Oryzias latipes: one gene and its partners. The protein of the gene in region 4 purifies or fractionates together with the protein of the main gene of each other region. This does not show direct contact. Links are inferred from orthologs where the notes say so. Each region holds a gene or a part of one and is shown on either strand. Other genes may lie near its edges.

Region 1 (4,175 bases), on a different chromosome or scaffold from region 4:
GGCACCAGGCCCCATAATGTTACTTTACTTATAAAAACACATTTTCTGGGCAGTTGTGTTATTTTGTTTTGCTATATTTATCTGCCACACCTTAAAGGTCCAATGAGGCTACAAATAGCCTCTTTTTTTCTTGAACTTCCACTTTAATAGTTCGGGAAAAGGTCTTAAATTTACTGGGTCCTACACCAAAATGAAAAGTTCTAAGTCTGCTAAAAATGTCTGTAGATTTTATATAGAGAATGGCAATAAAACAAAACAAAACAATGCTGCTTGTTTGTGGTAGTTGTTTCTGATTTGTGATAACTTGTAAAAACAGGACATTTAGGACATTTTTCAAAAGGAAAACTAAATAATAAAGGTCTCTGATAAGAAACTAATACTCCTATGTAGTAAAAATAAATATAAAATGGTTCAAGATTTAATTTAAAAACAAAATATGATAAAATTTTTTTGTCCTGAAGCATAACCAGAGCCTGAATTGAGTTGACCCAGTGCTTTAGTCTTCTCACAAAGGATTGTAATTTAGCTTTTATCCAATTTTCATTCATCAGAAGCACCTTTTCACATGTCAGCAACTTTGTTCTATTCAATCTATGTCTCCTGTAAAAATCTACAGACCTTTTTTATAATGACTTTTTTCTTTAGACTTTATGTAGAAACCTTGACTTGATAAATACATTTCCTCTATATTGCCCAACATTAAACTGGCCAAACATTGTTGTGTTTCCAGCTAAACATTAATGAAAAACACATTTAGTTATTAAAAAAGAGGTTTATTCTGAACTTACTCTTTTTCTTTGGACTGCTTTTCCACTGCTGTTAGACAGTCCCACTTCTTTGTGGCCTGTTTCTTACACATGATCAAGACCATGTCTGTTTTGATCTGTTGCAAAAAAAAGTAGTAAGAAATTAGTGACATAGAAAAAATACAATTGTAAAAACAAAGGGGACATATATGCCGAATAAATGGATATGTAATCCAAAAAATTCAGTGAGCAAATTTTTAGGTTCCAAAATCCTTTGTTGGTTTTTTGTTTGCTGATTCGGAAGAGTATGAAAACTGGGAAGGTTTTTTGATAAAAAAAGAAAGAAAAAAAAAGGGGGCTGACATTTTGGTACCAAATTTTGCAAAGAATACTTTTTTCAAAAACAAAAACATGGTGCTACTGGTTCAAACAAACACTGGAGGAACATTTAAAGGACAAGAGAAAAAGTGACTCACCTTTTTGTAGCTGTCCTTTTCATCAATTGGATGTAACAAGTTGAGCACTGACATCTGGTGATTTTTCCCATTTAGATTCTTTACCAAAACAGAGAAAGACCTGAACCAAGACAAAATTAGGCTTAGCATAAAAAAATGTATGAATGCTCCTTACAAAACTGTAAGATAAGTGGATTTACCTTTCAGTGAAGTTGACTTCAACATTTTCTGCTGGGATTTTGTCAACACCTTTCAAATCCAGGTAAATTTTAACAAATTTGTCTGACTGGTCCCATGCTACAGATACAAAAGATAAAACCACAAACAATTCTTCAAATCTTTCTTTTTTTTTTTTAGTTCCAAACACTTGTAATCTCTCAAACATGCTCCATACCATAGTTGGTGATTTTAGTTGTGTATGGTGCTTTAGAGCCTGCTGTTGGATCGGCTTCTCTCTTAGCCTGCTGCTCCTGCTGATGTCGTTTCGTTGCAAGCTCTTTTTCCACTTTCCTCTGCTCCTGTTTCAGCAGCTCCTGCACCCTTTTCCTCTCAGACTTCTCCAGGAGGGAACTAAGCTCCTGCAAGTCTGCTTCCAGCTGACTGATCTGTTAGAAAAATGAGGAACAACCACTGCACAAGCTGATCTTGATGAAGCAAACTATTTGTATCAAGTCTGTTTTATTTATTTATTTAACTTATATATAGCTTCTTCTAAAACAGTACAATTTAAAAGTTTCATTTTCCTGACTGGAAATTCTACATCTAACCTTTACTTAAGTCAGTTAAGAACCAATTCAAATGTGTGAACTGCTAATGATGAGATCTGCAAGTCCCTTATGGAAATGTTTTAACGTACACTGTTCGATTAAACACATTTATGCAAAGACATGATTAAGAAATTCACCTAAAAACATAAAAAAGCATTAATTAAAAGCAAAACTCACATGATTTTAATCAAAATATAAAAACCAAAGCAAAGCATGGCTCTATTATGACTTAAGTTTAATTATCACGACATATAATAAAATAAACCTCAACATTTACGAGTAAGGATATTCAATAGCATCCAATAGGAATTGAGATATTGTCGCTTTCAATCGTTTTTCTATCATTTAAAATGCTATAAAGCAACTCCGAAGGAAGTGTAGCGCAGAACCCGCGAGCGTGATGTTGCTAGAAGGTTCTAGTAAACTTCATGAGCACAACTGAACGTCAATCATCACAGGGACTTTTCTCGCCCTCAACGTTTGTCACTGTGACAAACTAAACAAGCTTTTCAAACAATCGTCTAAAAAAATATACAGACAGAAAGAAACAAAGCAAAGCATACAAAAAAATCCGTTAAGGGCAAGCGGCTAACCGACAGCTAACACAACACATCGCCCAACTATTGAGACCGACGTAAATTTAACAAACTCATCCAAATAGACAATGATTTTTTCTTCTAAAATAATACTTTGGCCAAGACATGTTTCTTACCTGTTCCGTTAGATCCATTCTGGTTCTTCAAATTCCACTCAGTTTTGTCAAGCAGCACAGCTCTTCGCAGTGAGGAGTTCTAACAATTTGGTTTGGCCCTCTTTAGAATTATTTCCTGCTGTTAAAAGTTCCTTTAATCTCATTACTGCCACCCAGTGGTTGGAATAAGTAAGATCAGAACAATACACAACAGTAAGATATATTTATTTTAAATTTAGCAGATTTTACGTACTGTAAATTACTAGTGGCAATATTTATACTCACGAGTTATTTTTTATTTTATTTTAAAGCAGCTATTTCTATTTAGGGTGAGTATATGACCTGACAACAAAAACATTTAGCAACTTGTATCACTGGGACACTTTATTTATTTTTTTTTAGAAATACCATCATGTTCAAATTAAACACCATAAATTAATCCTTTAATAACACTGTGAAGCTTCAAACAGCCGTGTTGAAAATTACACAGCACATGAATGCTTAATGATGGCTTTAACTTTTCACATCAGTAGATCATTCAGAAGCATTTTTCTCCACAATAAACACAGTGTTTGTGTTTATTACCACCACATAAAAAAGAAGGAAAAAAAAAACAGGACACTTTTGTACAACAATATTTATTATGTTTTGTTTTTTTTTACTCTTAGTCGAGCTTAAATACTCAATATTTGCATTACTTCTTTAAGTTCACACAACATTCTAGAAATCTGCAACCTGCATTGCTTTGTTAACACACAATCTTACAGACGAATCCAATAGACCACATTCACCACCTTGCCCTGAGAATCCCTGACATCTGGTTGTGGTCAGCTAGGTGTCGGAATACAATTCGACTCAGTCGCCACCTCCGCTTCACTCCTCGGGGCCGGGAAGTCATCACACACCTGTTGCGTATCCTCACAGGGCAGCTATCTCTCGGGAGTGCTGCAATTTCTTTGTCTGCTATCTCCTATGAAGACAATTAGACAGGGTTTAGGGATTGTCCGCTACTGGTGTACTTTCAGCTGTTTGACATATATTGTGTGTGCAACTAGAACTTTTGTAAAATCGTGACTCTTTAAATAATAAGAGCATACTGTCAAACTTATGGTGTGGCACAATGAGGAACTAGTTGTAAATAGGAAGCTGGAGCCTACCTGAAGCTCTTTAGGCAGGATAGTATTCTTTCTTAATGCATTGATCCGTAGCCTTTCATCTGCATAATCGAAGGCCATCTGTCTTCTTTTGACGTCCCTCAGCATCCTCCAGTCAACATAATAGCTTCTCATCTGCTCCACAGCTCCCCAGCAGCTTCTTAGTGCCTGCACACAACACACATCAAGTTTCTGACAGGTTTCTCTCCATTTACCACACATTTGCAATCTATTTTCTCTGGTTTTAAGTTTTCACTTGATCTTAGTTCTGTAATGCAAGAGGTGCTTGACAAAATATTGTAAAAGAAGTCTGTTTGCGATCATCAGTTTAAAAATAATTCCTTCTCATTTTGCGGGCTTGA
Region 2 (3,572 bases), about 16 Mb from region 4:
GTTAGGTCCATCACAGCAGCGTAGGACTCTGCCAGGAGGTGTTGGTGTTCCGCGCGTTCCTTCTTTAGCGCCACCTTCAGGTCTGAGGTGTCTAGTGTTTCACTTGGAGAAAGAGTTACGGTGGCTTTGCCAGATTTGGCCTCAAGCTGGAAGACAAAAACAAAAACCTTCATAAAAATGGTTCCTTTTTTTGTACTGAAATGTGAAAACATTAGATTTGTCTCAACAATTTTAAAAGACATTAAACTTAATTTGCGTTGTATACACAGAAAATGTGCTTGGAGAGGAAAATCCATGTAAATAAACAAATTAACTAACTTTGTAATCAGACAAATTTGGTCCTCAAAACAAGAGGAGTCATTGATTTTAACTAAAAAAAAAGAGTCAGATCATTAGAAATTAAAATTAAAAAGCATCTCATTTAATCAAACATTGTCTTTTTTCAAAAATGAATAAATAGTTACCCCTGCAAAAATGATAACTACCTTAATATATAATATATCTAACACATTTCAAATGCAACCATGTGATAAAGCTAAAGCTTTTTTTACTATAATAAAACAAAAAAACCTGAGGCAATGCCCACATTATATGCTCGAAAACAAATATTATTAGGCAAATATATATATGTATATATATATATATATATATATATATATATATATATATATATATATATATATATATATATATATATATGCTTGCTTAAATGCACAGTTCAATCTGAAGCAGCTATTAGAAGAACTGAAGGTTGGTTTCCTGGTCTTTGTAAAACATTGATGCGTAAAGTGATCAGAATCATCGTTTTGCTTAAATGAGACAAAAAACATCTCATTAAACATTTGAACAGTGCAGATCAGGAAGAGTGATAATGGTTTGTGAATACTTCTAAGAGTTTTATGAAGATGTACTTAATGACAGTTTGAGCTAAGGCTGCAATGTAAAGAAACCGACTTGAGCAGATGGTAGAGGTAATTGATAAATGATTAACTGGTTGGTAAAAAAAATGTATTATGCACATCTGTCTTGTGAAGTCCCACCTTTGCCTCTTTGCACCGTCTCTGAACCTTCCTGTCAGTCCTCCTCTCCCCCCAAACCCTTTTCACCCTCTCTTTGCACATTTCCTCAAGCTTCCGTGCTGCTGCATTTTTCTCACCCTTTATTTAGAGCATTCTCACTCTGAATCTGGCTGCTGTCACTGATCCTGTAGGGGGGATCACTTCAACTTCTTATAAGCAGTTCTGCATTTTTTTCCCGCCCCTGTTTGAGCCTCAGGGTCTATAGCAGCCCATCTGCTTGACAAACACACCCAGACCCATCTATCTGCTCTCTGCCTTTCTGTTTGCCTCCGTGGCATTTGTGTTAGCAGCTAATGAAAATGTCAGGTAACTTATCACAGCGAAACACCCACAGACTTAGCCCAGCTCCAGTCTCCATAGACTAACAACGAGGTTCCCTGTAAAATGGTGACTATACTTCTTTGGATGACAGCTGCTTACTGGTGGATCAATGACGCTTGATTTTAAGCAGGTACACCTACTTTAATTTATGAACTTGAATGTGTAAAATCGCACAGAGGAACAGTGATTACATTTTACGAGAATAACCCAGAGGAAAAAAACATGAAAACTAAAAAAAAGGGCAATAAATAAAAGGGTTGATAATGATTTGTCTTTGAATAAGATGTTCTTATTAAGGTAAAGATGACTACATTTTAATAAAAAGACAATATATATTTTGGTTTTAAAGCTTAAAAAAGAAAATTGTACCTTTTTTAGAAAGTCAAAGTTGCCTGCATGATCAAATAATAAGTTACCACCTTAACTGGTTTGGAGTTCTAGAAATGCTGACATGCAGAGCTGCTAATATAATGAATATATTTTAAAGGTTATGCATACAAATTGATGATGAGCAGTAGCAGATCACAGGCTCGTCTCTGTGAAAATCCCTGCCATGCAATATTGATCTTTCTTTTTTGTCCTTTTACATTCTCTCCATCTTTACACACTGCTACAAACAAAAGATGAAGTGTAAGCTTTCGCTGAAAAACTTTATCCTGGATTATATAAGAAAGTAATATATAGCTGGTTAACATCTGCCTTCAGGTCAAAAATGCCTTAAAGAAGTGGTGTTGAAACCAAACGAGCTAATATGTTTTTAAGTTACATGTATAATTTTCAAAATCTAGCAGATTTTTTTGTGTTTTGTTGTGTTTTTTGGTGACTTTTACATGTCTTGTGAAAAAATAATATGCAGATTTTCCCACTAAGACTTCCAGATTTTTTTGTAACATATAAAACATTTCCTTTATTGATTTTGTAGATGTTTGTGACATATTATTTAATCTATACATTAAAAAAAATTAAGACGTTTTATGTTTTTGTGCATGCAATAAATTGCTGTTAAAACTGTTGTGGATTTAAGGACCTGTTATGGATTTTTAGCTGTTTTAAAAGTGTTCCCATTGGTAATTATGGTTATGCCGTTCTTAGCCAAAATTTTAAAAAAACCTGGGTTGTTTTCAAGGACATAGTTTCTGCAGAGCAGCAGTAGTTCATTAGAAATTCACCTCTGAGTTGTGGGCAGGACCACCTGCTCCTGATTCACAATGATTTGAACAAAGAAATACTCAGAAATGCATTTTAAGCGTATTTTTCTTCATATATGTCCTCCATCATCAGAAAAATGCAAAATGTTAAAAACAGCAAAAACACAATATTCATCCATGTAGATCTTTAAATGGTCTCGCACTATATGCTAACTTTGCCCTTTGAAGGATCTCTGTCAAACTGTAGAGGTGCTAGAAAGAACTTTTTGAATGCAAAAAGTTAAATGAAAAGATTTAATTCAGGTAATGGATCAAAGGTTTGTCAATGAAAAATCGTATGAATGTAGTGAGAACTTTACAATCAAGATGTCAGTGAACCATTTATTACTACTTCATTTGCATACAAAGAATATAGAATATACTCGCATATTAACCAATAAATCATACCTCTCTACATTAGGGAATTGGATAAACAGATGTGATACAGAAGGGATCAGAGAGTGCAGCTGTTCGCTCAGTCATTACAGATATGACAGCAATGACAATGTGTGTGACAGTCATGATGGATCGCTATTAACCAAAAGGACTTGAAGCATCAGTGCAGAACTTATAAGATCTTTATATCTTTATAAATTATCAAAACAAAACAAAAATTGTATTATCTGTCATGCTCTCAGCACTTTGGACGTTGCTGACAGTGTTTGTCTATACGCCTGAACAGTGGGGATAATTTCTCATCCAGCTGTCTGACAAGCAGAGCAGTGTTTGGAATTGAGTTGACTTGTTGAGAAGTGTCTGCCATGTGTGGTCTCACACAGAGACACACACTCACAGAAACACACACACACTCACAGACCTCTGTGGTAAATTGATTGCTTAGATCAAAACGTGCATTGCTTGGTATGGAGATTGTATCCAACTGTGGCATCTAGGTCAGGGTAAAACAGCCACGCACCCCTGAGCGCGCACACGCAAACTCAGAGTTGCACTATGCAGGCGTCGACATTTTAGCTAGTTTGATAAG
Region 3 (3,572 bases), on a different chromosome or scaffold from region 4:
AATTAAGCTAAAAACATAAGCTGGAAGCTCTTCCCAACGCGGCCAGGGCATCAAGCTAAGGAACACATTTTTGGACAGGCGGCAAGCAGAGAATATGCCACCCAGGGAATGAGAGGCGGCCGATGCAAATTTTTTGTGCGAATGATGTTTGGTATGAACGCAACTTTATAGTATGAATGAAATACATACTGAGCCTTTCAAAAAGCTGATAAAGAATGATTGATACATCAATGAGGCACTTTGGTCATGACCAGTGTTAGCTGTGCTGCTTACTTGAGACAGCAGGTAAAGGGACACCTGAGGGTTAATCTTCCGTTCTTCAGACTGAAAAAAGAAAAGAGAAGTTAAGAAAAATGGTTCAAATAGACCACATTTATTGTTTACCGTAATGTACACGTTCGTTGTTTTTTCAAGTGTTCACTTAGTTTCTAAATATGAAAATGTGAATATTGGTGTCAAACAGGAATGGAGAAGTTGGAAAATCAGATTTTTTCACTTTTTCACAGATGTTCGCATTTTCAAAAATAAAATTAGGTGACTTAAATGAAGATATAGCTTCAAGTGTCAACCATGCTGAGGAAGAGTCAGGTATCTGAGCGAAACGTTAAATAACAAAAAAAAAAAAAACTACAAATAAACTTTATTAAAAAATTACCCAAAAAGTACTGATGATTCAATTCAAAAGACAAGAAGTAAATGTTAAAAAATGACACAGAAACACATTGCATTATAAAGACATGCATGGTAAATTAAATTTTTTATTTTTTTTTATTTTAAAGATCTTCACTTAAATCCAACAGCATGAATGGAACCAAGTCAGTCAGGTGTGACAGTGGGTAACCGAAAATGAGTGTCTAAGGGCAGGGATGCCCAGGGTCTGTCTAGTTCTAGGACTACATAAATAAAAATGAATTGAATTAAATTGAACATACTATTTCAGGACAAACCAAGGAGTAAACGTAGAGGGGCAGGAAGAGGCGGTTTAGGAGGTGATCAGTTAACACGTCGTTCAGGAATTCACAGTTGATGATGAGGATGTCGTTCAGATAGTGGAGATGGTCGAGATGCTCCGCTACCAGGTCACTCAGCTTTCCTTTGTTCTTATGCCTGAGGTAGATGCAGACACATGGCATTTTTGTGTGTGTGTGGGGGGGGGGTTGTAAATCAACAGGTAATCTAGAAGGAAGATAAAGCTAACATTCCTGACACAAACCTGACCTCTAAAAGCCACTGCAGGAGCCTGCAGAACTTACTCTTCATCTGTCTGCACACACTTGTCCAGCTCGATGACATGGCTACCAATAAACCACACCAGGTTACTGAAATATGGGACTGCGGTTTTATCCCGAATGTAGTGCAGCATGTGCTGGTTGTCCACTGGAGGAAATGACAGAGTAAAACAGAGATTAAAGTAAAAAAAAAAATGCTCTTCAAACATTAAGAGATCTTAAGTAAACAACATAACATAAAAACATGAGTTAAAGCTCAAAAACGAGAAATAAAACCCAAAGCCTTAACTATTTACAATAGAAGAACTAATGGGTATTTTATTTTGAAAAATGAATGTTCTAAGATTTAAAGTAAGAAAAAAAAACCATTTCAAATCAAAAGCATTAAGAATAAAAAGCCTGTACTCCGATTAGGTCTTATTGAGATACTTCAAAAGATGTCTTCTTTGTTGATTTTGAAAAAATGACAGCAACCAAAAAAAACAAAACAGTACAGTCTAGATCTCTATATTCACCCCTAAGTGAGGGAATAAAAACTAGAATCCATTTTTCTATAAGAGTAAACAAAGGATGCTAGGAAACAAATGAGCAGCCAAAATATCAACATAGAGAGTCACAAAACTATCAGAAATACCAAAAGAAAAACTAAATAAATGAGCAAATATGTGAGGTCAGTATTTAAAAGTTACACACAAAAAGAAGAAAAACAAAATCAAGACAAAACTTGGCATGCATGTTTGCAAGAATGTGGTAAAGGGCCAATCAAAGTACATACATGTGTATTTGAAAGCTACATTTCAATAATATTCAATTCAATTTAATTATACTTTATTAATCCCACAAGGGGAAATTTAAATTCCAGTACCACTCGAACAAGATCAGACATACAACAGAAAAACACACATTTCGAAGTTGACTGAGGTCTTGCAGCCGTGACGCAGGCCGTGACACCTGACACCATTGCAACCTTGTTTTTAAATATATACCATTAGGAACAAGCAGGGCTGGGTAACAACAAAAAATGACAGATTTACTTTAACATACAGTATATACTTTAAAATAGTGAAAAACATATTACTTAACAGATGTAATAAAACTTTTTGTACCCATAAATAAAAAACGTAAAGAATACACTGACTCAGCGTTTTGTTGATAAACCCAGCCCTGAGAGAAAAAAAAGGTTGAATGAATGGAACCAACTTACATGAAACTGCAGTTAGGCAGATGGGGTGCATAGAGGAAGAGGAGGAAAGAGACAAGAAGAGGAAGAGTAGGAGGAGTAGTTGGAGAGGGGAAACAGACACAAGGGTTAATGTGAATACAAGGGCGTTTGTGGCGTTGTGGCAGACAAGCTTGCAGGCAGCAAAAACTGCAAACAATGGACAAACTTGGACAGGAATTTCAATGATACCCAGACATATTGGAGCTCATTTTTAGTTGTTTTTTTGTTTGTTTTTCACAGTTAAAAGGCTAAAGAATTTTTAAAGGAGAAAAATCTGTGCTGTAGTGGAAATTATTTTCCAAGTATTTTATTTGTTGAGGTACATATAAATTTAGAATTTAGATAAAAGAAGCATCAAGTTCAATTTCGAGCTATAAAAAAACTTTTACTCCAATTCCTCAAGAGTGAAAAAACCTTTAACACAGATATTAAAGCCATTAACACAACTTTTTGTTTCTTTTTGCATATAGGTTCAATGTGATAGTTCTTACAAAGTGAATGAACCTTTTTTTTTTTTTCCAGTTTCTAGCAGCAGAAATGTTTAAGATTTTGATATGGAATTAAAGTTGAACATATTTGGCTTATTTTGTCACAGTTTTTTCGCAGTGTGTGTGTGTGTGTGTGTGTGGGTGGGGCATTTTTCCTCCTCCAGCATTTCTTAATGATGATGGGGGACATTTACAAGAAAATTTAACTTAAACTTGCAATTTTGAGTATTTCTTCATTCAAACTGTTGTGATTCAGTGGCGAATGAAGAAATCATGTTTGAAAGAGATCATATTTGTGATTTAAAAAATACGATGGCCGGGTCACAAGGTCCCAGCTCCGCCCCATTCTGATGTATCCACCAGTAGACGACTAGATCCATTTATGTCATCAATATACACGTTTTCCTTGCCTGAGCTGGTATCTGGCTCAAAACTGTACAGCTCTTCAATGCTTATGCTATTAAAACGGATCAAAAGATGATTAGGGAGGGATTTTTTTTAAAAGCCAATATCGAGGAATTTAGTGCATTTTGCATCATGGATGACAGCAGTTCAGTTGCACCCTATGAGAGTTGCTGAATCAGGAATTCATGGCAAGAGGGCAGAGGCAGGTGTTCACATGTAGGCGACACA
Region 4 (2,348 bases):
TTGCAAGCGTTGCACAGGAAACACTGTCACAATGGAAAAAAAACAGACTACAGGTCACACGTTTCCTTAGTTTTGGGGTTTAGCTTAATTCACTAAACATGTAAACCAACATTTGGGAAAGCTGCACACCATGCAGCATCTGACCACATAATGCAAACTGACAGTAAATGAGGCACAGCGTAGAGCGTGATTTCACATTCCACTGATCACAATGGTTGAGGATTAAGCTCTACAATGTGGATGAACCTGACAGAAGAGAAAAACGAACAAAAACAAAAAGGGAAATCATGTGGGTGTCCATGTTAGACGTTGAGGACAAGAGCCAGTGAGGTCAGACCTCTGTCTGGAATCAGTAGTTAAAATGGCCTTTTCTGTTTCATAATCCACACGAGTACCTCTTTACTCCAGATCTCCAAAACACCTTCTTTTCAGTCTTCTCCTGTCATTATTCATTTCTGATGTGGACCTTTGATGACATGCTGAGGTAAAATGCAGAATTACATGTTTTTTTGTTTTTTTCTTTAGCTTTTTAAAATCAGGTGATTCAAATAAACTTAGTGAGAAAATGTTTGAACTTTTATTACATTTAGCCTGTAAAACAGTACATAACAGACAAAAACAAAACACTGACATGGAAAATAACAAAGAACAGTTTTATATTGAAGATTTATAAGCCATTGGTTGTAGTTTTGTAATACTACAGCAATAAAGGACTAATGAAAAGCATTTTTCTTCTCAAATGAGTGATTTTAACAATATGTCTACAATCTTTCATTCGTACATGTGACTAAAAATATGCTTTCCGTAAATGACAGTACTTATACCTACATTTTAATAATTGAAAATACATGGATGACTTAGCATAAGAGTGAATTATTGACTTAAATTGAACTGATATCTAATAAGATTTCATATATTAGGACTTAAGATTTAACACTTCAACTGGATCCAAAATACAGATATGTACAACCGAGGCATCAAAAGGAAACACAAATCCGTTCATCCTCAGGCCTATAGGTTCACTCCAAAAGGCGCCTTTTTAAAAAAAAAAAAAACAAATAACACCTTTAAACCTTTTTTGCAAAAAAGGCAACGCAATAAATAAAACAAATGGCACAGAAGGTCTGAACAATCTAAAGTAAGAAGCACAACGTCTAGTGGAAAAACAGCGAAAATCACAGAGTTGCCTGCAAACGGTAACATCAGCTCACAGCCGACATAAAATTACAATTATAATTACAGTGATGAGTGGAACAATTAGAATTCTACATAGTATTTGTATTTACAAGCAATTTGTACAAGAGAGGGCATTAAATGGGGTTCAAGCTTTACCATTTTTGAAAAAAAAGGATTTTTTTTCCTTTTTAAAACTCCCTGGAAAAGCAGCTGTGAAGTACGTCTGAGCAGATACCGTCCAACCTGCAGGCCAGTGTGACAATCATGAGAAAAACATTTTCTCAGCATCAGAAATAACTCGATCTGAAGAGAAAACTGGATGGACAAACATTTCTGCTTAGCGTTTAGCTGTGAATAAATGTGGTTCTCTTTTTAAAATCAACCTAAAAACATACTGTTCATAAGGATGATCAGGTAAACACGAAATGCTCATAGGTACTCCACACATCACAAGTAAGGAAAAAAAATCCCTTCAAGAGCAGAACAATCTTCATATAATGCACTAAATATAAACGTTGTAAACATCTCACTTTTAACCTTATACATCCATGTCAGATTTTGTTTATATTTGCCAGGTTCATAAAGTATTTGTCCTTATTTTAAGGCATAGATAGTAAACTCAAGAGTGAGCCTAAGAGTTTATTTTTAAGAAGCCAGATTTATTCCAGGTTTCACTTCAAAGAAGAAAACAAAACAGAAAAGACCTTTTCCACGCTACAGTGAAAAGAGCAACTTGTCTCTGGAAGAGCTCAACTTGTGATAAAGTTATAAGATCTCCTCCACTCCGTGGGCAAAGATCATAACCAGGCCGGGCTCCAGTATTTTATCCTCCCCCATATGCTGATTTTCACAGGCCATCACCACCACTGCCTGCTTGCCAGGAATCCGCTTGGCAACATAGTTCTCGTAGTAGCGCCTGTTCATCTGCCGCGTTTCGAGAGTGGCCAGTCCCTGAGGCCAGTTTCGCTCGTGGGCATTCTCGATCAAGTCGTTCACAATTGAGAGGGGGCAGCCGCTGTCGATGAGCGAGCGTTTGATGACAGCTTGGAGCACAGCGTCCGGCGTGGAGATCATGCCCCCCCAGCGAGTCACCCTGGCAGGCTGCATGGAGTTCACCCACCTGAAGAGATGCAAAAGGGTTAGGAACCACATGAAAATTCAAAAGCGGTTTG

Evidence for each region.
Region 1: the proteins of rnf41 (region 4) and cacybp purify together in Homo sapiens (affinity purification with mass spectrometry; 4 studies listed by BioGRID and IntAct, with this or other methods). This does not show direct contact. The link is inferred for Oryzias latipes from reciprocal best matches to the Homo sapiens genes RNF41 and CACYBP.
Region 2: the proteins of rnf41 (region 4) and soga1 purify together in Homo sapiens (affinity purification with mass spectrometry; 3 studies listed by BioGRID and IntAct, with this or other methods). This does not show direct contact. The link is inferred for Oryzias latipes from reciprocal best matches to the Homo sapiens genes RNF41 and MTCL2.
Region 3: the proteins of rnf41 (region 4) and clec16a purify together in Homo sapiens (affinity purification with mass spectrometry; 3 studies listed by BioGRID and IntAct, with this or other methods). This does not show direct contact. The link is inferred for Oryzias latipes from reciprocal best matches to the Homo sapiens genes RNF41 and CLEC16A.

Annotation. Positions count from the first base shown.
Region 1 is NC_019875.2:24,410,184-24,414,358, forward strand, and holds the start of cacybp (calcyclin-binding protein), read right to left. Parts: upstream 2,812-4,175; 5' UTR 2,699-2,811; coding exon 2,681-2,698; intron 1,807-2,680; coding exon 1,596-1,806; intron 1,499-1,595; coding exon 1,402-1,498; intron 1,323-1,401; coding exon 1,223-1,322; intron 884-1,222; coding exon 789-883; intron 1-788. Other genes in the region: mrps14 (28S ribosomal protein S14, mitochondrial), read right to left, coding at 3,447-3,629, 3,817-3,981. UniProt on the Homo sapiens protein: May be involved in calcium-dependent ubiquitination and subsequent proteasomal degradation of target proteins. Probably serves as a molecular bridge in ubiquitin E3 complexes. Participates in the ubiquitin-mediated degradation of beta-catenin (CTNNB1).
Region 2 is NC_019865.2:5,989,328-5,992,899, forward strand, and holds part of soga1 (protein SOGA1), read right to left. Parts: intron 147-3,572; coding exon 1-146. UniProt on the Homo sapiens protein: Microtubule-associated factor that enables integration of the centrosomal and Golgi-associated microtubules on the Golgi membrane, supporting directional migration. Preferentially acts on the perinuclear microtubules accumulated around the Golgi.
Region 3 is NC_019866.2:16,880,622-16,884,193, reverse strand, and holds part of clec16a (protein CLEC16A), read right to left. Parts: intron 2,440-3,572; coding exon 2,434-2,439; intron 1,378-2,433; coding exon 1,254-1,377; intron 1,108-1,253; coding exon 933-1,107; intron 325-932; coding exon 274-324; intron 1-273. UniProt on the Homo sapiens protein: Regulator of mitophagy through the upstream regulation of the RNF41/NRDP1-PRKN pathway. Mitophagy is a selective form of autophagy necessary for mitochondrial quality control.
Region 4 is NC_019865.2:22,240,706-22,243,053, forward strand, and holds the end of rnf41 (E3 ubiquitin-protein ligase NRDP1), read right to left. Parts: intron 2,297-2,348; coding exon 1,942-2,296; 3' UTR 563-1,941; downstream 1-562. UniProt on the Homo sapiens protein: Acts as E3 ubiquitin-protein ligase and regulates the degradation of target proteins. Polyubiquitinates MYD88. Negatively regulates MYD88-dependent production of pro-inflammatory cytokines.